Medicago truncatula: one gene and its partners. The protein of the gene in region 2 binds, or shares a complex with, the protein of the main gene of each other region. Links are inferred from orthologs where the notes say so. Each region holds a gene or a part of one and is shown on either strand. Other genes may lie near its edges.

Region 1 (7,540 bases), on a different chromosome or scaffold from region 2:
TAAGAGTTTAACCGATGGATGACCATGAATCCTCAACAAATTGGAATTTTTGTTGGTCAAATGAAGCGATCAGAGTTATTGGGCTTGGGCTTGTTTACTTTTATCAAGCAATTGCACATTTTAAATATAATTGATGAATTACACAATTTAAAAGTAAAAATGTAAACTATCAGTTTTTTTTGGGAAATAATACTAGTGTTCATAATGAATTACACAATTTTATAAATAAGTAATAGTGGTACACATGTGAGTGAGGTATATAATACTACCTCATAAACAATGCCCTAATTTAGAAGAACCTTATATCCCTGTCTAACCTTCATTGCTCTCATCAACTTTGGGTCTAGTGTTCATAAGAACCTGTACAAGTAAATATCATAGAATAAATTTTCACTTGATCAACATGATGTTATATAATTCTATAGTAAATAGTAAGTGACAAACAATTTGTTAAAACATATTTAGTTCAGATTATGTTACCTTTCGGAGCATGGTGTTTTCATTGGTCAAAGTTGAGATACGTTCTTCTAAATTGGAGTTCTTATCTTCAAACTCTTTAGCTCTTGATTCTAAGTCATTCACGTACAGTTTTTTTCTTTCACGGGCTTGTTGGGCCGAGACCCTATTCCTTAGCAACCTATTTGTAATATAAGTCATTTATTAGTTTCAAATAGTATAGTCTGCAGTTCGGCTGAAAGATATGTAAAATTGGACTAAAATTGTTCTAATTAAGTATTATGAATGATTCTTCTTGAACCGTTTGAGTTCAATAACTTAATTACTCTTGAATAACATTTTAATTGCAGGTGAGGTTTAGCATGGGAAAGCTATATTTTTCCCACCATGGGAAAGTTAGTTTTTGACCATTAGATCAAACCAAGAACACATCCTTATCATACTCCCTCATCACTAGATTTTATTATTTTAAAAATAAAAAATATATTTCGAAATTAAAATAATCATTTAAAAATAAAAAAAATAAATTTAAAAATAAAAGTCTGATTGATACAAAAAAAAATATTTTCAGAAATTTTTACATTTTTTTCGAAATAAAAAAATTCTAAAAAAATATGGAAATTAATTTTTGAAAATTACAAAAATTTAATCTTCGAAAATCATAATTAAATTTTTTGAAAACAAGTTTATTTCAAAAAGTTTATTTATATTTTTTAAAATTTTGGAAAATTAATTTCCATATTTTTAAATTTATTTTTTATTTTTAAATATTTATTTTAATTTTGAAATATATTTTTTGTTTTTAAAATAATAAAATTACAAAATCTAGTGATGAGGGAGTATGATAAGGATGTGTTCTTGGTTTGATTTAATGGTCAAAAACTAACTTTCCCATGGTGGAAAAAAAATAGCTTTCCCATGCTAAACCTCACCTTAATTGCAATATGTATCCAAATCTTCTTAGTGACAAGTTTGATAATTTAATGTAGAAATTAATTCAAAAGTCTATATTATATACAAAATACATCAGTTATTCAATGAATTTAAAAAGTGATTATTTGTTTATAATAGTGACTATAGGGTGTAAGGTATAGTTAAAATTTGTGTTAACTTATGTCCCTTACCTTTTGAGACGTCTATGTTCCTTGTCTGCCGGGTTTCTTCCGCGGCGGCGCTTTCCGGGGAAGCCAGCTTGAAGTTGAGCATCAGTTACATTGCTTTGATTGTGGTTACTATTTTGATTTGTTAACTCAGAATGGACACTTTGACATTGTGTACCTTCCACATCCGGAACTTCAAATAGATCTTCATCGCTATCTTCTGGAATTTGTAAAAAAATCATGACTTATTAGCATGACATATTTAGTAGTATTTGTAAAAACAAAACATGTCACGTTTAATATGGACTAAGTTGAATTTGCATACAATGTCAAATGAAATTTAAAGAGTTATAATAACTAACTTGTGTACTAAGATTACATGTTAAAGAATTTAAAAGTAACAATTTTGTATTGATAAAATAAGTTTGAAATCTATACTATTTCATCTCAATCAAATGATTATTGATGTATCGATCATATGAATGTGGATAAACTTCCCTGATATGATATTGTGGATAATCTAAATTTGTCAAATTGTTGATATAAAAACGGTTTATACAGATTCAATCATATCTAAAAAGAATGATGCTATGAAAGTATAATTGGGTAGAATGTTAGACCAATTTAATATATATATGCGCGTGTATATTATAAGGGCCCTTTAATATATGGACCAACTATCCATGAGTTTAGCTCAGTTGGTAGGGATATTGTATTTTATATTTAGGGATCGGGGTTCGAACCTTGGACACTCCACTTCTTCACAATTAAATTTTACTACATGACAATATATATATATATATATATATATATATATATATATATATATATATATATATATATATATATATATATATATATATATATATATATATATATATATATATACCTTTACTTTTCATGAAACAAGTTGTTTTTAAATGATCGGAATCCAACAATATACTTAATGAAAAAAAAAAAAAAAACAATATACTTAATATTTTTTTGTTTTGACAAACTTTATGAAGAATCTTTGTATGTTTGGACTTTGGATTAGTTTATCATATTTTTTTAATAACATATTGATAAACTCTTGACTTAGGATTATGTCAAAAATAAAATAAAATAAAAGACCTTAACTTGAGGATAAAATATGAGTCAAAAAAAACTTTAGCATAAAATAAAATAATAAAAAAAAATTGAAAATGACACTTACCAAATCTATTTGGAGGCATAGGAGGTAACCTATTCCATGAAGAAGATGAAGATGAAGGTGCTCCTGTTGTTGCAGATTCCTTCATCTCAGTATCATTGGCTCTTGAAAGAGACATGTTTTGTTTTCTATGATTTGTTTATGATACCTCAGAGAAATTTCAAGTAACAAAAAAGAAATGTGTGTGTGTGTAACATGTTAATGCACTTGCAATGTTGGGTTGTGTTGAAATGTTTTCATGATGAAACATTGTCTTTGAAAGAGTGATGGGGCCTAAAAGAGTTTTGGTTCAGAAATGAACACGTTGATGTGCATTCAACCAAACCTTTCTTCTGTGTTTTACGTGTTTCTGTAGCCTCATTTTACACAATACGTCCAATTACTATTTCATATTAAATATTTTTAAAACGAAAATCTTTTCTTTTTTACAAATAAACAAAATAACAATCATTTATAAACAAAGTTGATGCATATGGTTCAAATTTTTAATCATATAGATCAATTTTGTTTAATTTTTTTTCTTTTGTTTATATTTGTTTCCTTTTATTTATATTTAAAACCGGGTATGAGAACATACAACTCTTATATAGCTTTACCACGACTTAGTTTTTATAGTCATGTAAACGTTCCAACTTCAAAATTAGTTTTTGCATGATTAGTGTTAGCAATACATTATCTAACATGTATAGACCACATACATTATTAAATGAATGAACTAAAAAAGTGAATTTTGCTTATATTTTGAAACGGAGAGAGTAGTTTTCAACGTTCTTTTTTATACAATGATGAATACTCTCCGTTACCAACCACCTAGCTTCGACACAAAACTCGTACTCAGCCACGGCCGTCAACCGTACCTTTCTTTTATAAAAATAAATTTTATTTCAAATTAAACAACCTCCATCGTGCTTAATTATGATATTGTTGATTTCACTAACTTAGATTCTAATTTGTAATCACTTTGCCTCGTTCCGACTACAATTTGTTTCAAAATGATAAGAAAATTAACAAAGCGACTAGACACAATAATTCAGTAGATTAATGATTGTATAAAGTAATGAATTTTTTCACTCTAAGCTAAAACATATTTCACCAATCCTACCATGCATTGATCAAATATAAATTTTAAATTTTTTTATATTCGAACATGCTAAGGTTGAGTAAAACAAAAGCTAACGAAGTAAAATATGATGGATTTACTATTGGGATAACTCATATAGACATGTCACATTCTTCCTTTTTCTTTCTCCAATAACTTCTTTTTCTTTGAATCTAAATTTCCAAATTAAAAATCTTACATAATTTTACCCAATAATGTCTTCATAGCAATGCTTCGAATTTATAAACACAACAATGGGTACATCAAAAAAATCTAGTGTGAGGTACCATGCATAGACACTTGAATGTCCTTCATCTTTAGTTGTGGAACAAAACCTGTGATTGGCAGAGTTTAACTTAAGAGCAATGATAGGTAGATATCCTTAATATGCACACTCCTTTGTATCACTTTGAAAATTTTCAGTTAACTAAATATATAGTCTGTTTGACCACATTTTTTTGGTTGAGTGACCACTATTTTTTTTTCAGAATTTATTTGGTTAACTAAGTGGAAAAATATTGGTCACGCGTATTTTAGTTGCGTGACCACATTTTTCAGCTTCTAAATAGTGGTCACACAACTGAAAAAATATGGTCACACCGACCATATATTTGGTTAACTGAAATTTTCGAGAGTAACACAAAGAGATATACACATTAAGGGTGTCTACCGATCTTTATTCTTAACTTAAAAGCTAAAACTATAAATATAGTATACAAATACACTCCAATCCTGATAAAAATATTTAATTTACCAATCTGGGTCAAACTATAAACATGATTTAGCCAATAATTATTTGTTAATATGAAGGGCCAATGCATTAATTGTGCTTTAGAAGTTACTTTGATACGAAGGACCTATTTTCTACATGAATGATTTAACCCAATCAAGTACCACTAATGTTAATCAAGACTTGTACTCTAAGCATTGAATTTGAAGATTAGGTAGCCTTCAGAAGTAATAGTTTATACTTCTTTTATAGACCAAAAATATAATTTATATTTGTTTCAATTATATCTTTAAATTGTTTGTAGAAATGTATACTCTTTTTTGCTTTGAAAATATAAATTGGTAAAATAATTTCTGAAATAAAAAAAAGGATATTTTTGTATCAAGATGCATTAACTAAATGATTTTTAATTTTTATAAAAAATCTTAAACAACTTTTTTAGCATGAGTTTGATTAAATATGTAACCTTAATCAAATGTTATTGTTGCCACATTGTATTTGAGATCTCCATTAACCCTATGTATTCTTTAGTCATTATTATAGACAAAAATTTACTTGTTGGGTTTCATGAATAATTGATGACATTGCTCAAAAAAAATGATTGATGTATATAGTCAATATTATAAACAAGATTCATTGGTTATTCAATGAAACAAACAATTGGGTTTTTACTTATAATAGTGATCGGAGGGTGTATATCCTAATATATAAATGTTAAAAGTAGATTTAAACCTCCACCTTCTACATATAACTCTTTCAATGTTTCAACCTAAATCATTGGACCACTCCTTTGAGACGTCTATATTTATATTAAAAATTAAATTTTTTTTTTTGAAAGAAAATTTAATTTATTTTTTATAAATAACACTATTCAAACTTCATTTGCTAAAATATAAAAAATGTAAAAAAAACACTATTCAAACTAGATATGGAAGGTATTTTTTTCCCAATGTTTCCAAAAGGAACACTGCACTAGAAGTACTAGGAAAATCTAGTTAAAGCTTACATTAAAGAAACAAATTAAAATAATATAATAACTTTCCCATCTTCAATGACTCTACAATCCTTTAATCATCATAACCTCAACTATGCACTTTTCCTTTCTCCATCTCTATGCTCAACAACTTGATCACTCTACCAAACCAAGACACTTTCCTGAATTTACACTTAGTGTTCTTTTCCCTTCCTTAAAGCTTTATCATGTTTCTTTCATATAATGTTGTAACAATTGTTCTTTCTCATCATTACACACAACTATGACACTAGTCACACTACTTTTATTTATATACACTTTTCTTCCTTTGATTCTGTAAAAGATAAACACAACATTTGGAATTTATAGTATGCATCACAATTCATGGATTCAAGAAATTCATGGACTATCTTCTTTTTGCTTCATAGCTTCTTGTTTGTTGCTTTCTCTGGACAAGATGGTATGTCTTATACAACTTTATAAGATAATGACATTTTTCTAAGCATGTTTTTTCATTATTCAATCTTAACTTATAGAAAAATCTTTGTCCATCCTCAATACTTGGGTTGACCTGGTGGTATTGACCTCGGACCTGAGAGTGTGCATTTTCAAAGGAGAAACAGTATTTTTGTTCAGAAGTACACATCTGGACAACACAAAAACTACGTTTTTTCCGAATGTGTGCATCCGTAGTATCTTAGAGGGTGGGAAAAGTTCATCACTAACTTATATACTCATGATTTCATGGCCATTTTTTCTAAGTTCAATACTTGTTGAATATTAATATCTTTCACAAAGCCTATTAGATTACAAACATGAAAGTAGTTTTCACTATTTTCTTGTTGAATTTCATGTAACAGGTTTCTTGAGTCTATCATGTGGTGGAACAACAAGCTTCAATGATTCATCAAACATTTCATGGTTCTCAGACACTCCTTACATAACCACAGGAAAAACAACCACCATCAATTACAATGACGGTTCCTTGTCAACAAATGTCTCAGCTCGGTTCTTCCCTCATTCCAAACGTCGCGCATGCTATCGGATACCAATGAGCAATGCCACTAGTTTGATTCTTGTTAGAGCAAAATTTGTGTACAAGAACTATGATGGACTTGGAAAACCGCCTATTTTTTATGTTTCTCTTGGGACAGCCATTGCTGCTAAGATAAATCTAGCTAGAAAGGATCCATGGATAGAAGAGTTTCTATGGGAAGTCAATAAGGATACATTGGCATGCTGTTTGAATTCAATTCCAAGTGGTGGTTCTCCTATAATTTCTTTACTTGAAATTAGACCACTTCCTAAAGGTTCCTACATAAAGGGCAAGGAAAATTTTCCAAATAAATTGCTTAGGATGAGTTATAGAGTTGATTGTGGACACATCAATGAGTCTATAAGGTATGAACCATAGATTGATTTCTAATTATGCAACTAATTTTATTATGAACAGTTATGGTTTAGCTCATGGTTAGCAGTATCTTATTATGCATTTGAGTTTTATCTCGATTCGATGCAAAACCGAGTCCAATCACTATGAATCTCTAGTGTGCAACTATTTCGGAAAAATCTCATGCTGAATCCTGATTCATTACGATGAACTCCGATTCACTACGATGAATCTCACTTCACTGTAATGAATCGTTACCTAAATTTAGTATAGTCAGGCACTTTTTTTTGTCAACTTTTTTTAGTCAGACACTTTTCTTTTGTCATTTGATTTATGACTTAAATCTTCAATTATTTTAAGGTTCGAATATGATATATCAACTTATAATAGCTGTCACATGTTTTTAGTTTAAAATGTCATATTTTTATCGGTAATGTATCTTACGATTCGTAAGAGGATTCTATTCACAATTCAGAAAATAGGTCTTCTAGTTCATGATTTGAATTTCGATTTGATAACATGGTTTAGCTTCTAAAAAACAGGTACCCTATGGATCCATATGACAGAATATGGAACAGTGATAGAAGTTTCATTCCTTTT
Region 2 (7,563 bases):
AAAACACATTATCCCTCGGCTCTAACTTATCTGTTGCAGGTGTTTGGTGGTCTTGACGAAATGAGAATTCTTTTTGTTTCTCAAATGCTTTTATCTTTTATTACCGTCTTATCATGGAAGCTCGTAATATAACTCTTATCTTTATCTCTTGCATTTCTAGTTCTCTACGAGACAAGAACATAGACGGATCAAATGGAATTCCTTCAATTCCTCTTGCACCATTCTTAATGTTGATTGCATCATGTCTTGGCAACCGTGTCAAAGTTGGATTTTATGGTTTGCTTCATCATCCTTCCGTGATATGGATCTCTAGTTTCTCGGGATTTCTTTCAGAAATTTAATATTCTTCATGCTTAGCTCCATGCTATTCATCAAAGACTTTGTTGACTAAGCAATTGGATTACCATGACATTATTTGTTTCATTGATTCTCTTCATTCCATCGATATACTCCATGATCAAACGCCAAGGCTTCACAAGTATACTAAGATCTTCTTCACTAATATATATTGACATGTTTGCATCACTCATATTCTCTAAGAAAATAGTTGTGTAAACATCCTTAACTTGAAGCTTCTTCTAGCATTGATCTTATGGTCCATCTCTTCCATCCAACCGGCATCTCAGACCTCCTCTTTACAGACTCTATGGAAACTTAGTTATGTAGAGCTAAATTTCTCTCTTTTTTTTTTCTTTTTTTTCTTTTTCTTTCTACTTCTTTCTCTTTAGCTTTGTAACAAAAAAACATTAAATTAGAATTTTAAAAAAAGAACTAAAAAACCTAATCCAAGTACACCTAACGTAAGCATAAACATCAGACAAGAAATTGCCCATTATACACACATTTTTACGGAGTCATCTTAGAATTTTCACAAAGCTAACCACCTATTTCAGATCCATTGCATTTACTATTTTTTTAGGGACATCCATTGCATTTACTCGATTCTTTTGAAAACTTTTGAGTTTTCTCACCCTTTTCCCTTTTTCTATAGTACTAGGTAAATCTTATTTTGTCAACATCAAATGAAAAATATTTAAACATACACAAATGAAAAAATAATAATAAATAAATAATATGACTAATACTTTTATTATTTGTATGTGTGTTTAAATATCTTTTATTTATACTTGTTAAAAAAATATTTATACTTGTGATCAAATACTCCATCCGTTTTAAAATATAAGAAATTTTACATACATCGTTAATTGAATGAACTTAAAAAATAAAATTTATTTATATTTTACATCGTTAATTGAATGAATCTAAAAAGTAAAATTTACTTATATTTTAAAACGGAGGAAGTAAGATTTGCTCCAAGTAGAATACTCCCAAACTAAAAAGTTGACATTTAAGTGGAAAGCAGAATCAACAACTTGGTCAAAGTCAAAGCATTATTTAATTGATCCCAGTGAAAGGGAAATGCTACAGTTTCATGGAAAGTGGCTCCACTCATGTCTCAAAGACTCATATCAATGGAGTTATGACAAACCACAAAAATTGTTTGGAACAAATGCTATCAATGAGCAATGTGATAGTGGGTTTAAGAAATTAATCTTTAAGTTTTTTATGGTCCTGATTTTGTGTTCAAAGGCGGATTTGGGCATAGAAATTGTTTGCTTTTGCTGTGTGTGTTTATATATATATATATATATATATATATATATATATATATATATATATATATATATATATATATATATTATTTTATTAATTTTATTATTTACTTAACTTTTATTTAATTTTAATCTCTTGTTTAAAAAAAAAATAAAATTTTAATCTCTATTTTACAAATTTTGTATAAAAAAATTGTGTTTTTACCCCCTTTACCCAATAGGTAATAAACAATGTAGTCTCTATGAAAGCTACATGGAGACTAAAATTCATTTTAAACTTATATCATAACTAATTTGAGAAACTTGATTTCACTTCCTTTAAAAAAGAGAAACTTGATATCATTCGAATTTTTATTTATAAAATTCACTTTAATGATAAACATATATAGATATCAGTACAATAGTAATATAATATTAAGTGATGATTGTTTTCTTTCTTTATGAATGTGAAATTTTTATTTTATTTTTATAAAAACATTAGACATCAAAACTAAAATTTTATTTTAACAAAACTCAATATGAAGACCTGAAGCTGACTTTTCTTTTCCATTTTGTGTTGGAAATGATATTTAAAAACAGTGTAATATTTACTGTAATGTGAAAATCAAATTATATTGTGAAAATCTTTAAGCCATTTCATTTGAAATTTATATATTTTACATCACTTTTTTAGAGGACCCGCTCTTTTTTTAAAGGCACCATGTGAAAAATCATACTCCTGTCCACGCTATACAATTAAGTAAAAAACAAGTAAATTGAATATAATATTTTTTATGTATTTTTTTGTCAAAATATTTTTTTATCTATTAGAGAGGGTTTTTGTTTTAGTCATTTTTAAGTATAGTAAAGAATATAAATGAAGAGAGACATTTTTTAACACAAATAACTTACATTTATAAATGAAAAAAAAAATTATGGGCCCTCTTATCCACCGAAGTAAGAATATAAATGAAGAGAGACATTTTTTAACACAAATAACTTACATTTTATAAATGAAAAAACCATCTCCTGTCAAAAAAAAAATTATAAATGAAAAAAAAAAACATTTATGGGCCCTCTTATCCACCGAAGTGTTCCCTTAACAGCCCAGTTTCTGCATGTAGCCTTCGCTCGTATGAAAATTGCTTTTAAACACCTTGGATTACTCACAAACACCTAAAACTTTCAAAAATATCATCACTAGGAGTTACGAACCGTTCACCTGTGAACGGTAGCCAGGGATTGTTCGAGATTTTGTCAATGGTAGTTAGGAACCGTTTTCAATATACCTTTGCAGGTAAATTATGTTATGCCTGGATGAAGTTATTGATATGCTTAAAATAGCTCATGAAATATGCTTTTTAAGCATTCCCATCAACACAATCGTCAATCACCATCACTTTTAAAAACATAACCGATCTTCTGATTATAATCACCGTACAAATTCGATATCATAAGATTAAAATTGAAATTCAATGTTATGATTTACAATTGCTATGTTCTAATCGTAATTTTCAATAGAAGTATTTTCGAAAGTTTAAAGTCATTACAAACAATCTAAGGTGCGTATTTTTCCCTCGAATAGAATGAGAGAAAAACCAAACAAGCTATCAACCTTAGGAAAAACCCAATCACATTGTCGAAGAGATACTCCTCTTATCTTAGATAACATCATCTTTGGGGACATATTAAATTGGTACGGTCGGAGTGAGGTAAACAACTAGCATCACTTATGTATGTGGTCACAAGTGTTTTTTTATGTTAAAAAAAAAGTGTTCTTATGTTGTAAATTTTTAGTAGTTACACCTTTTATTTTGTAATTTATTTTAAAGTTGTAATTATTTTATATTATTGTTTTTACTAAAATTTTTTAGACACGTTTCTTTTGTTCGGATTATTTTATGGTTTGCAACAGTTGAAGCAGCAAGTCTACATTGTAGGTATGGAGGTTAGAAAGACACAATCACTATTTTCCTTATACTCTATTTTGTTTTATTGAGAGTCAATTTACTTGTGCTAATATTTCTCTTTGATTTACTACTTAATGATAATTATATTTCATTTTTTCAACATGTGGTACTCCATATGGTACGAAATCTGTATATGAGACATGTATCAATATATTCATCAATTTGTTATGCATGAGAAAACACATGGTTGAATTTAAAAAATGGATATCAACATGGAAGCCGTTAAGTGCAATGACATAAGCTAAGGTAATTTGGTGGGGAAATTCTTAAGAGTTAAGAACGTGTTTGTTTAAATGAAAGCATGAGAGATTCCAATGGTGGATGGGATAAGAGGTAGAAGAACCATACTTCTCATTCATCGCTTCCCATATTTATTCCTATCTAATCAAACAACCCATTCTGGTTTCAAATTTCCTTCTATGAACACATGATTACCTTAAGTAGAAACTCAATAATTTTAGATTAGTAAGAATGCAATGTAAGTAGATATGTATTATAGGAGACGATCTCATTTTAGATTACCTTAAGGAGAGGATCTTGACCTGTATTCTAGAGAGTATTGCACTTCGCATCTTGATGATGTAAAATCTTCTCATTGACCAAATTTCTTTGTTAGATTCATACCACAGTCCACACATACATATCTAAAAGTGCTTGCTCAACATTCTATTGTCATGCATTATACCATGTGAAGTTATGTATGTTCATCTACTCCTATACAATAATGACAACCAGATGTCATTCCAAAACATGAATTAAATCACGTCATCACGTAAACTTAGCTCAGTTGATAAAGACAATATATACTATATATAATGTAAGAGGTTTTAACCCCGACCACCACAAAATACACTAACTTCTATTGATTAATTTTTACTTACATTTTAGGACGGAGAGAAGACATATTTTCTCCATCATTAATTAACAATAATTCATAAGAGGCCAGCATTTTGTGATGTAGCTTATAGCATCAAATCAATCACGTGGAAATATCTCACCCTCACAAACATCACATTCCTGGACCCACTTTCTTCCACTCTAAACCCGCTTCTCTTCAAATCACCACCACACGCATCAAAACCATTTCATCTCAAAAACCTCACATCACACCATGGAAGAACACTCCGTCGGACCACTCGTTCCCGCCGTCGTCAAACCCGAACCATCCAAAAACCTCTCCACCACCGTAACCGTCACCGGCGACATCGCCGGTGGAGACAATTTCCCGATCGCAACTATGACGGAATTAGATAAAGACTTTCTATGTCCGATTTGTATGCAGATTATCAAAGACGCGTTTCTTACATCTTGTGGTCATAGCTTTTGTTACATGTGCATTATTACTCATCTTCGGAATAAAAGTGATTGTCCTTGCTGTGGTCATTACCTTACCAATAGTAATTTGTTTCCCAATTTCTTACTCGATAAGGTTCGCAATCGTAATCACAATCGCAATTCGTGTTCATGTGTTCTTCGCTATGAATTTAGTAACTGCTAGTGTTTAATTGATAATTTGCGTTTTGAATTGTGATGTTTCGGTTTTGGAATTGCGTTTAGATTAAGATTTAGAAACTACTTGAGGCTTGTTTGGATTGACTTATTTGAGCTTATCTAATGACATAAACACTTGTGAGACTGCTTGGAAAAACTTTTGAAACAGTTTACTACACGTTCATAAGCTGTTTTCAGTTTATTTTTGTAAGTTTTCCAATATAGCAAATGAAAACAGCTTATAGCTTATGTGAAAATAATTTAACCTTATTTTATTTTTTGTTGCAGAAATAACTTATACATATGCACTTATTATGATAATCACTTATACTATAAGCTACAAGTTAAGTTGTTTTCCAAACATATGAATGAATTCGGTTTCACAATGCTTGTTGTTTAATTGCTAGAGATTAATTGATATTTTGCATTTTGAATTGTGATATTTCGGTTTTGGAATTGTGTTTGAGATTAGATTTATGCCTGTTTGGATTGACTTATCTGAGCTTCTCTACTGGTATTAGTTTTATGAGAATGTTTTGGAGAACTTATAAAAACAACTTTCTGACAATTTTCATAAGCTTTTTTCGGCTTATTTTAGTAAGTTCTCCATATAGCTTATGGAAATAGCATATAGAAAAACAATTTAACTTTATTTTATCTTTTGCTAATGTAAGCTTATACATAAGCAGTTATAATGATAAGTGCTTGTGCTATAAGTTGCAAATAAACTGTTTACCCAAATAGAGCCTAACACCCAGGAAATTGCTTGTTTTATGAATGAATTCGGTTTCTAGCTCATTGTTAACGGTTTCTGTACCAATTTGTAGCTACTAAAAAAGACGTCGGATCGTCAAATATCGAAGACTGCTTCCCCCGTGGAGCATTTCCGGCAGGCGATACAAAAGGTTGGTTGTACTCTTGCTACCTGTATTGGTTTGCAGTTTGTTTTGTGGTGACTTATACCTTTGTTGTTGTTGATCTTGTTTTACTTAATAATTCATTTTTGCTTCTAGTTTTATTTCAAACAATGAATATTTCGTTTTGAGTACAATGTGGAATACATGACCTATGTAACATCTGCATTTCGGAGTCCAGTGTATGACACATGTCTGTATCCAACACTGATACAACATGTATGTGGTTACACTGTATCAATTCCATTTTTCAAATTATTACCGGCGTCTATGTGTCGGTATCATTGTCGTATCCGGTATCCGTGTTAGTGCTTCACTGTACTTGACATGATATGTATGGGTTTAACAGGGGTGGTTAAACAAAACTGGATTAACTTTTAACTGTCGTAATTCCTTTGTTTACCATACTAATTGTACAACAGTGAGAGGTTTTTGTTGCAATAGTAGGCTGTTTTTCTTCTTCTGTTTTTTGATAAAGCAATAGCAGGCCGTTGATCGCGCAGTTCACGTTCCACTAAATTATGAATATAATTCTACAAGAAGTTTTGATGTTCCAGAAAAGATAACGAAAGAGAATGATACTAATAGTTCCCCTGTTCTCGGCCTCTAATCTAAAGTTTAAGGGAGGAATGCTGTATTGCCTGCAGTGCCAGTTTCTTGTAAGAGGAAATATAATCTGATTCATTAATTTACGTCATTCATTTGTTGAGATGATTAAATAAAGGCTTAATAGCAGTTTTAGACCCTTAACTTTTCCAAAGTTGCAATTTTGGCCCCCTAAGAAAAAAAAACTACAAAACCACCCCCTAAGTTTTGCATCTGTGGCAGTTTTGGCCCCCAAGACCAATTTGACTCGGTCTACACTGACGTGGCACTCTAAGTGAGGTGCCACATGTTATTTTTATTTTTATTACAAAAAATTGGCTTTGGGGGGCCAAAACTGCTACAGTTGCAAAACTTAGGGGGCGGTTTTGCAGTTTTTTTTCTTAGGGGACCAAAATCGCAACTTTGAGAAAGTTAGGGGGCTAAAACTGCTATTAAGCCTTAATTAAAACAGTAGGCGTTAGATCAAAGTAGATGGTTAAGAATAATACTATTTTAAATTGCAAGTCACTGTTTCCCATGCTACTTTTTTCTCCTCCTCTCCTGCCTTTTCTATCAACCGACCGTCCGTGCCAATAAATAGGAAAACAATTTATTTTGAAGCCTAATGTGAGAGGAGAACAAGGGCCATCATTCTCTGTTCTAATGGAAAAGTGCACCTCATAAACAATAATACCACAATTTGCATCATTTTTCCTTTACCCTCTTTCATGTTTGACAGAGACAGTACAGAACCAAACCTAAAGGAAAAAAATTAAAAACAAAAAAACAAAAAAAAACAATGTATAGTGGATTTTGTTATGGGGCGAGTGGTGAGTTCTTGGTGGCTGTGCTCGTGATTGTGAATCTGGTTGGGTTATTGGAGCAGAGTCGTGGGTCTACTATAGTCTATAGCCTTGATTTGTGAATGTAACCAGACCCACCTTCACCCAACCACAATAAGTAGAACACCAGTGCAAGACCCACCATTTTGACAACTCCGTGTAGTTTTCT
Region 3 (7,463 bases), about 9.9 Mb from region 2:
CCCAAGGGAAAAACTTAAGGTGTCCAAGTAGAGGCCTTTCATGACTATAAGGGTGGTTGAAACTAATGTACCTTGAATACTCTCTAAGACCAATTGACTTGAGAAACAAGTTAACACTTTCTTCGCCGGCTTCATTTCCTTCATTCGCCCAAAAGACTTGTTTGATTCGGACAAGATGGAATACTTTTTTGACACTAACTTCTCCGAAATGCAAATGTGGAGAGAGAAATGAGGTTGTGGCACTGTCTGCTTTCCTTCGATTCTTAGAGTACTCGATCAGTGGACCGTTTATGAAGGTTGTTAATGCCTTGTTTGCATTACTCCACCCTGGTGACCATGCTCGAGCAAGAAGTGCGTTGCTCGCTTTCTCTAAATCGTCTTCAAAAACCAATGTATCAGAAGGACACTTTGATACATCACCTGAAACATGGCAAGAAATGTTTAATGAAATGCAAATTAAAGTCAAAACATGAAACATGACAATACAACAAATAAAATAGGCAAGTACCAACTACCAAGTACTTGAAATTTTGATCATGAACTTGGTTCTTTAATAAATATAAAGTACAGCCTTTGCTAGTCCCTTAATCAGCTCTCTGTTGCACTCATTTACTTTAATGGCACTTTGAATAATCAAAGAACTAAGAATATCTGTAGAGTTTCTTTAAACAAACATATTTTTGGATGCAAACTTACACTTGCAATGGTATTTTCATAGCGAAAAATAGGGGTATAATTTGAAATTAATGAAACACAAAAGTTGCAGGCTAGCCCAATTATGACTTAGAAGCAAGTTATAAAATTCAGTAACATATGTGTTGAACCTTTATATTTAATTTTATTTTTGTAAAATCATTATACATCAACATTGGAATTTGGAAGGACTAATAGTTAATCAGGCACAATGATTTATAGATCTGTAACTGCATTAAAAAAACCCTGTCTTGTTAAATAATATGATTATACTTTGGTGGCTCCTCTAGAGTAGACCACTTTCATAGATTGTACATGGTTTGGTTATAAGTGAAAATCTTCTGAAACACCAACGACAACCGGCGTTATCATCCAAAAATAGAAGCTCGTGATCTCCATGTCCTCACCTCTGAGACGTATACATGGCCAAGTGCCGAGTTTCGAGACAGACATTCATTTTTTTCTTCTTATTTTTGTCGAACCAGCACAGATTAAGTCACGGTCTCAGACATGGTTAATGTTTCAGACAATTTTCAATTATCGATCCAAAGTGGTCCACTGAGGAATTTGCCTTATACCTTTGCATCTTTTTGCTATGTTACAAAAGCAACTTTTTAACAGATAAAAGCATGTATTCCTTTCTCGGTATGGATAATTTGTTCAATATTCCAGAATCCAAACTAAGAACCACAAGAGTTCTGTGACTCATGCAGCTGGCGAACAATCAAATAACAACTATTGTCAAAAAAGTCGGAAAAAAAGTGAGGCTAAAAAAGGAGAGGAACAAAGTAAACCTGGAATAATTCTTTTAGGTGGGAGAAGAGGTGCTTGTGGGTCATAAGGCATGCTAAGGCATCTTTCCCAAAAAGAATCAAAAGTTGTGAACGGTTGGCCATTTTCATCGTTCACATCCCATGGTTCATACAATAAATCTGAGTTGAACGAACGTACGGTAATCCCTTGAGCCGTTAGAATTTCCTTTGCTCTATGATCCCTTACAAGTGACAATGGATCTGTAACATAGAAATTTGCATGATAACATTTCTACACAGTTTTGCAGCCATAAAAAACAAAACAAATATCATCTCAAATTATAAAGCAGCTTATATGAATGAAATTATCAGAGACATACACATCACAAACTGATACGAAAAAGAAGAAATTATAATCAAAGAAAGATTTTACAGTTTATTACCAAATAATAATGGAAACTAACAACTCAAATTGCTACAACTACCAAGGATTCTAGAGTTTGCAATGGTGTTGTCGATATTACTAAGCAAAAACTCGGTATCATATGGAATAAATCGTCAATTTAGTTCCTAAACTATCACTCTTACTCTTATTTGGTTCCTAAACTGCAGAAATATAATTAGTAATCCCTAAACCATTTTTAATGCATCAAATTAGTCCTTTAAAGCAATTGAGGGAATAATTTAAGGATTACTTGTCATATTTCTATATTACAAGACAAAATTGAAGATTTAGTCTTATCTTATTTCAGACATCAAAAGCTATATCAATTATACAAAACAAAAGAAACAGGATAATCATATAAAAGAAATTGAACCAGAAAGCACAAAATCATGCAATATCATATAAAGTAACAAAAATTAAGATAAGATAAGAATAAACAAAAACTGACCATATAAATGGTTGAAGAAGATTTGAGTGGCTCCAGTGGATTTAACAACTTCCAACAAAGAAGAAACACTATCAGTTGATCTTTTGGTAACAAGAGGAGTACCAAGATTTCTCAAAGATGAATCAAGATGAGCCAAACTATTCTTAAGCCACCATCTTGAAACCCTACCAGGATAATATTGTCCTTCTTCTTCAGGTGCCCATATAAAAACACCAACTACAGCACCTGCTCTAACACCTGCTGCTAGTGCAGGGTTATCCTCTACCCTCAGATCTCTTCTGAACCAAACTATACTGCATCCACCACCACTTGATGACATCTTCACACAAAAAAGGAGTTTTTCTTCCTACCCTTTATTTGTTTTCTATATTGATGAAGATTTTAGGCCATAAAGAGATGAAATACAATGAAAAAAAAAAATGCAGAGTTTAATAAATTATCCTTTTCCAAAAATATAGCATAACTTTAAGAGTAGTTTTGTTTTCCAAGAAATTCTAAATTTGGTTGTTTTTTGATTTTTCACTCAAGTTGCAATGAGAAAATAGTGACACTGAGACAAAGGTCCAAGGAGAGAGAGATTAGAACAAATGACGAGGATTGGTTGAGTGGGGGATACATGAAAATTTGTAGAGAATTTGCAGCCACAACTTTTTTATGCTATGTAGATTTTTCAATATTTCTATTATCTTATAACATGCAACAAAACAAAACAAATCACATCCACGTCTCTAGTTGTTTCTTCTATTTTTGATATACCAAGTGTGACACATAATGGAGAATCAACAAAATGATAGATACATAAACTATACCTTAGAGATATATAAATTATAAAATATAAAATTATAAATAAATAAAAAATATTTTCTTCTTTAGCATATACTTACATGTTCCAACTCAGAAACCCACATGGGTATCCTACATTATTATCATCACTTCACAATCCAACACAATCTAACTCTGTGTTCGTGCAGTCTTTTTGCTTTCTTTTATATTCCTAAAATCTCGTGAGATTTTGGAGATTTCTTTTTACTAATTATAGAATCAGAAATCTTTTATTTATGTTCTTGTTCTTGTCTAATCAGAATAAAGAATGAACATTTTTTTCTTTGGAAACAATAAACAAAGAGATGATACGTTGTTTATTGTTGTTTGATTGTAGTTTAATAATTATAACGTTCCCTTAAAGATAGTCATTTATAACATGTTCCCTTCCTTACCCTACAATTAGAGGTGGTTACTTTGTTTGTACTATGATACATCACTAATTGAACAATGGGTATTTCTTTTCAAGAAATTAAACGAATGTTTGTTGGGCTAACATGCATCTTAAAGAGCACAAGGTAATTTTTAGACGTGGCTTCGCTTTGGTCTAACATTCGATTGTTAGATCAGGGTTATTTTTTTGACCTAAAATTATCTCTATGCATTTTTTTTCATCTTTCTTTCGATATAAATAAATGATATCATCGTCTAAGTGTAGCGTTGTGTTATTCGTCATCTTGTGCGTCGTTGTTTGATTTTGCGTCTTGTTGCAGTATTTATATATGCCTAAAAATCATATTTATTTATAATGATAAAAAAGTTATAGTTGCATCTGATTCCAGGAGTCATTTTTCAATTTTACTAGCCGATTTACAAGGAACAGCAAGTTATGGGAAGTGAAAGATATCAGATTTGGTATAGATATGTTGCAACCAAACTACTTAGCTTATATTATTTTCTTTTTCTTCACCAGGATGTGGGAATTATGCTTCTACTATCGACTCTTCACGAATCTCAGATTCCATTCACGGGTCGTTTTTATGTGTCAGTCGTTTATGCTTACTTGCGCAGTGAAGACTGACTTTAAATGTTGTCCAGGTAAGAGTAAGACAACAAATTTTAGAACCACACGCAGACAAATTTAGATCAACAATTAGTAATAATCTTGTTGAAGATTGCATGGATGTGTCGGAAATAAAAAATAGGGGAGAAATATGCGTACATTTTCTTTTTGCTAAATTTGATATTTAGTCTATTAACTTATTTGTTGTTTTCGTTTTGGTCGCATAATTTATTAACCTTATGTTTTGGTTCTTTAACTTATACTTCCGTTAGCCAGATAAATATTTGCTGTTAACTTTTGTCAAAAAATTGATAGAATTTATCACCAATCCTAAAATTCATCACATTCATCATGAAATCTAGAAAATTCATCATCTACCTTCATTTGTTGGGATTAGGCCTAAATAAAAACAGATTTCATAAAACATGTTCAATCATTATGAAATAGTGGAAGCAAACAAAACATTGAACATAATTATGATATAAACTACGACATATTTGATTCATCAAGATATTAAGAATTAGGTATTAGGAATATATGAATGAAGCTTTGATGACAGTCCTCTCAACATCAACGATCTGAAAGAGGAGAAATCGCGATCTGAAATACACAACATAGAGTCGGTGGCGGCTGATTTGATACTTCCTCAATCGGTACCTTTATGCCTCTAGTTCTCATCAGATGGAAAAGGGAGAGTTTACCGTGTACGGTATATCGTGGACCATAACCTCTTATAGTGTGATTTGCCATTAAAGTTTCTCAATATTCCGTTGATGGACCATCCAAACATCCACTCATAGAGTTCATATCAATTATTTTAAATAATTAATTATCCAAATAGAAATCTAATCATTCTTGTTACTTAATTTGATCACTATTAAGGCTCCAAATTGATAAATAGTTAATATAATTATTACAAGATATTTGCCCACTTAATGACAATGGAATATAATAAAATAATAAAATATTCCAACAATCTCCTACTTGTGCTACTTATCTTAATAATTATAATAGAATTCTTTAGGTGCGCGACTGAATGTTATTTATCTTTAGATTTCTACTCAACAATCTAGCCCACCTCATACATTAATAATAGGACCACCGCAGTTGTCGTCATTGACATATAACGTGACGGAACCCCGGGGACCACCATATCAATGCACTTGATGACATATATCGATATGGATGAGTGACATGAAAATTTCAGTAATGTGATCTTTAAATCATGTCTATTTCCAATTGGTCAAACTAAAGTCTTTATTGAGATCAAACTGAAATTTTTAAATTCAATATTTGCACAAACAATACCAATATAGTTATAACAATAATAACCCTTTAACAATATGCAACCAAGTGACATAAATATTTACAGCCGTTTCCTGAGTTAGGATGTCTATTATTTACAGACATCTAAAAGTCATAGTCTAACACACTAATGAACTCTAAATTGTTAGATTTCTGGTGTGAGTATAAACTCTCTTATTCTCTTTAATAATTCTTATGGTTGCCTTTTCAACAATTCAAATTTTGAATTGCTCAAGTATCTGCCAAACAATATGATTATATAAGTTATTTCCAAATGCATATAAATAAGACTATACACAATATTTCTATAGCCAAGTCATAGAAAAATACTTGATTTTCAGAATTTATAAATTTTCTAAAGGGCAATATTTGAGATTATCTTGGTGTTCGATGTCACCCATAAATTATGTCATTTCATTTCAACTTTATTAATATAACTCTTTTGTGATATTTGAATGATACCTTGAGAGGAATCTCTAAGTATCGAAAAGCCTAATACAAAAGAGGTGTTCCTAAGATCTTTCATCGCTAATTTTCATTAGAGATTTTATTGGTTTAACATAACAAACATATTTCATTGTTGACTAAATAAAATAAAATTGATACACTAAAATAGATATATAAATTTACTCCCACTGAGCTTACAAATCCACAACTCTCCTTAATATAAAGTCTATGTCTGGTATTTCCGGAGGACACAATGTTGAATTCACCTCCGAGAAAAGTGGTAACCAAGGGAGCACCTAAAAGGGTGAAGTCTACACCAAAAACGAGGTCCACGAGTCGAATCCCCTCTAGGCGAGAGAGTATTGATTCTCAAAATCCTGATAGTCAATGCTCAAAAGCCAATAGTAATGTTCCAAAGAGTAAAGGTGCACGTCTTGGCACTTACTCCCTCTCACAAGTTTCAACACCTACTTCAAAACCAAAACCTTATTCGAATATACCATACATTTCACAAATTCCAATGATCATGAGACCTTACATTGAAGACATTGTGAATGTTAAGGGGGATGATAATTGTGGATTCTGGGTCATAGCTAGGCACTTGGGAACGGATGAGGATAATCATGTTTTGGTTCGCCATGCACTTATTAATGAGTTGAAAAATCATAAGAGTGACTATTTGCCGATATATGGTACCGAGAAGCATTTTAAACTTATCTTGGATGGTTTACACCCTCCAACAAGTAGAAGTGGTATTGCGCCTAGAGATGTCAAAACGGGCGGCCCGGCCCTAGCGGGCTTCTGGCTTTAGCGGGCTGGGCCAAAAAGCCCAGTTGACAAAACGGGCTTGAAATATACTACCCGAGCCCGACCCTACACGGGCCGCGAGCTAAACGGGCCGGCCCGTATTAAAAATTATATATATTTTTTTATTTTAAAAAAGTACTATAAAACACTACTATAATTTTTTTATAAATAATATTTTTAATATGTTTAAATAATGTCTAGCACAAAAGTAAATTGTAATCATTTTCGTACAAACGTCGTAAACTAAAACGACGAGGAAAATGATTTTAAATAAATTAGATATGTTATGGTTATAGATATTTATATATTCGATCTTTAAAACTATAAATAACGAAATGAATAAATATAATTTTATATTACATTTATATTTGTGTTAATTCATTGAATTTTCATTTTTGTTTTTTACTTTGATAATCAACTAAGTAAATAATTATTTGAAAAATATATATAATTTATAGAATTTTTTTTTGTTATGCGGGCTAACGGGCTACCCGCGGCCCATTCGGTCTAACCCTAACGGGTACCGGGCTTTTAAGGGCCGGGCTAAAAAGCCCTATCAAAATTCAGGCTCAATATTTTCGGCCCAAGCCCTATATTTATTCGGGCTAAACGGGCCGGCCCATATGGGCCTGCCCGTTTTGACAGCTCTAATTGCGCCGGAAGACAAGTGGTTGACGAATATGGGTCACATTATTTCTACTTGCTACAATAGAGTCATTGTTATATTGACTTTGCCCAAAA

What was found.
Region 1: the proteins of E3 ubiquitin-protein ligase COP1 (region 2) and transcription factor HY5-like are in contact, whole or in part, in a crystal structure (PDB 6QTT), measured with the Arabidopsis thaliana proteins. The link is inferred for Medicago truncatula from reciprocal best matches to the Arabidopsis thaliana genes COP1 and HYH. Residues at the interface, in NP_180854.1 of Arabidopsis thaliana: Ile373, Ser375, Tyr441, Trp467, Asp484, Lys505, Ala506, Asn507, Cys509, Ala526, Asp527, His528, Lys550, Ala551, Ser553, Thr568, Lys593, Asn594, Phe595, Phe646, Ser648; in NP_850605.1 of Arabidopsis thaliana: Leu28, Leu29, Met30, Val31, Pro32, Asp33, Met34.
Region 3: the proteins of E3 ubiquitin-protein ligase COP1 (region 2) and cryptochrome-1 are in contact, whole or in part, in a crystal structure (PDB 6QTW), measured with the Arabidopsis thaliana proteins. The link is inferred for Medicago truncatula from reciprocal best matches to the Arabidopsis thaliana genes COP1 and CRY1. Residues at the interface, in NP_180854.1 of Arabidopsis thaliana: Ile373, Ser375, Val391, Lys422, Leu423, Ser424, Tyr441, Trp467, Asp484, Asn507, Cys509, Ala526, Ala551, Ser553, Thr568, Lys593, Asn594, Phe595; in NP_567341.1 of Arabidopsis thaliana: Glu544, Asp545, Gln546, Met547, Val548, Pro549, Ser550.

Annotation. Positions count from the first base shown.
Region 1 is NC_053048.1:27,045,231-27,052,770, reverse strand, and holds transcription factor HY5-like, read right to left. Parts: upstream 3,004-7,540; 5' UTR 2,867-3,003; coding exon 2,752-2,866; intron 1,777-2,751; coding exon 1,581-1,776; intron 638-1,580; coding exon 481-637; intron 361-480; coding exon 313-360; 3' UTR 119-312; downstream 1-118. Other genes in the region: probable LRR receptor-like serine/threonine-protein kinase At5g48740, read left to right, coding at 5,935-6,010, 6,411-6,951, 7,483-7,540. UniProt on the Arabidopsis thaliana protein: Transcription factor that promotes photomorphogenesis in light. Acts downstream of the light receptor network and directly affects transcription of light-induced genes.
Region 2 is NC_053046.1:37,990,168-37,997,730, forward strand, and holds the start of E3 ubiquitin-protein ligase COP1, read left to right. Parts: upstream 1-4,549; 5' UTR 4,550-4,673; coding exon 4,674-4,991; intron 4,992-5,880; coding exon 5,881-5,958; intron 5,959-7,563. UniProt on the Arabidopsis thaliana protein: E3 ubiquitin-protein ligase that acts as a repressor of photomorphogenesis and as an activator of etiolation in darkness.
Region 3 is NC_053046.1:28,059,066-28,066,528, reverse strand, and holds the start of cryptochrome-1, read right to left. Parts: upstream 3,004-7,463; 5' UTR 2,658-3,003; coding exon 2,339-2,657; intron 1,707-2,338; coding exon 1,488-1,706; intron 421-1,487; coding exon 1-420.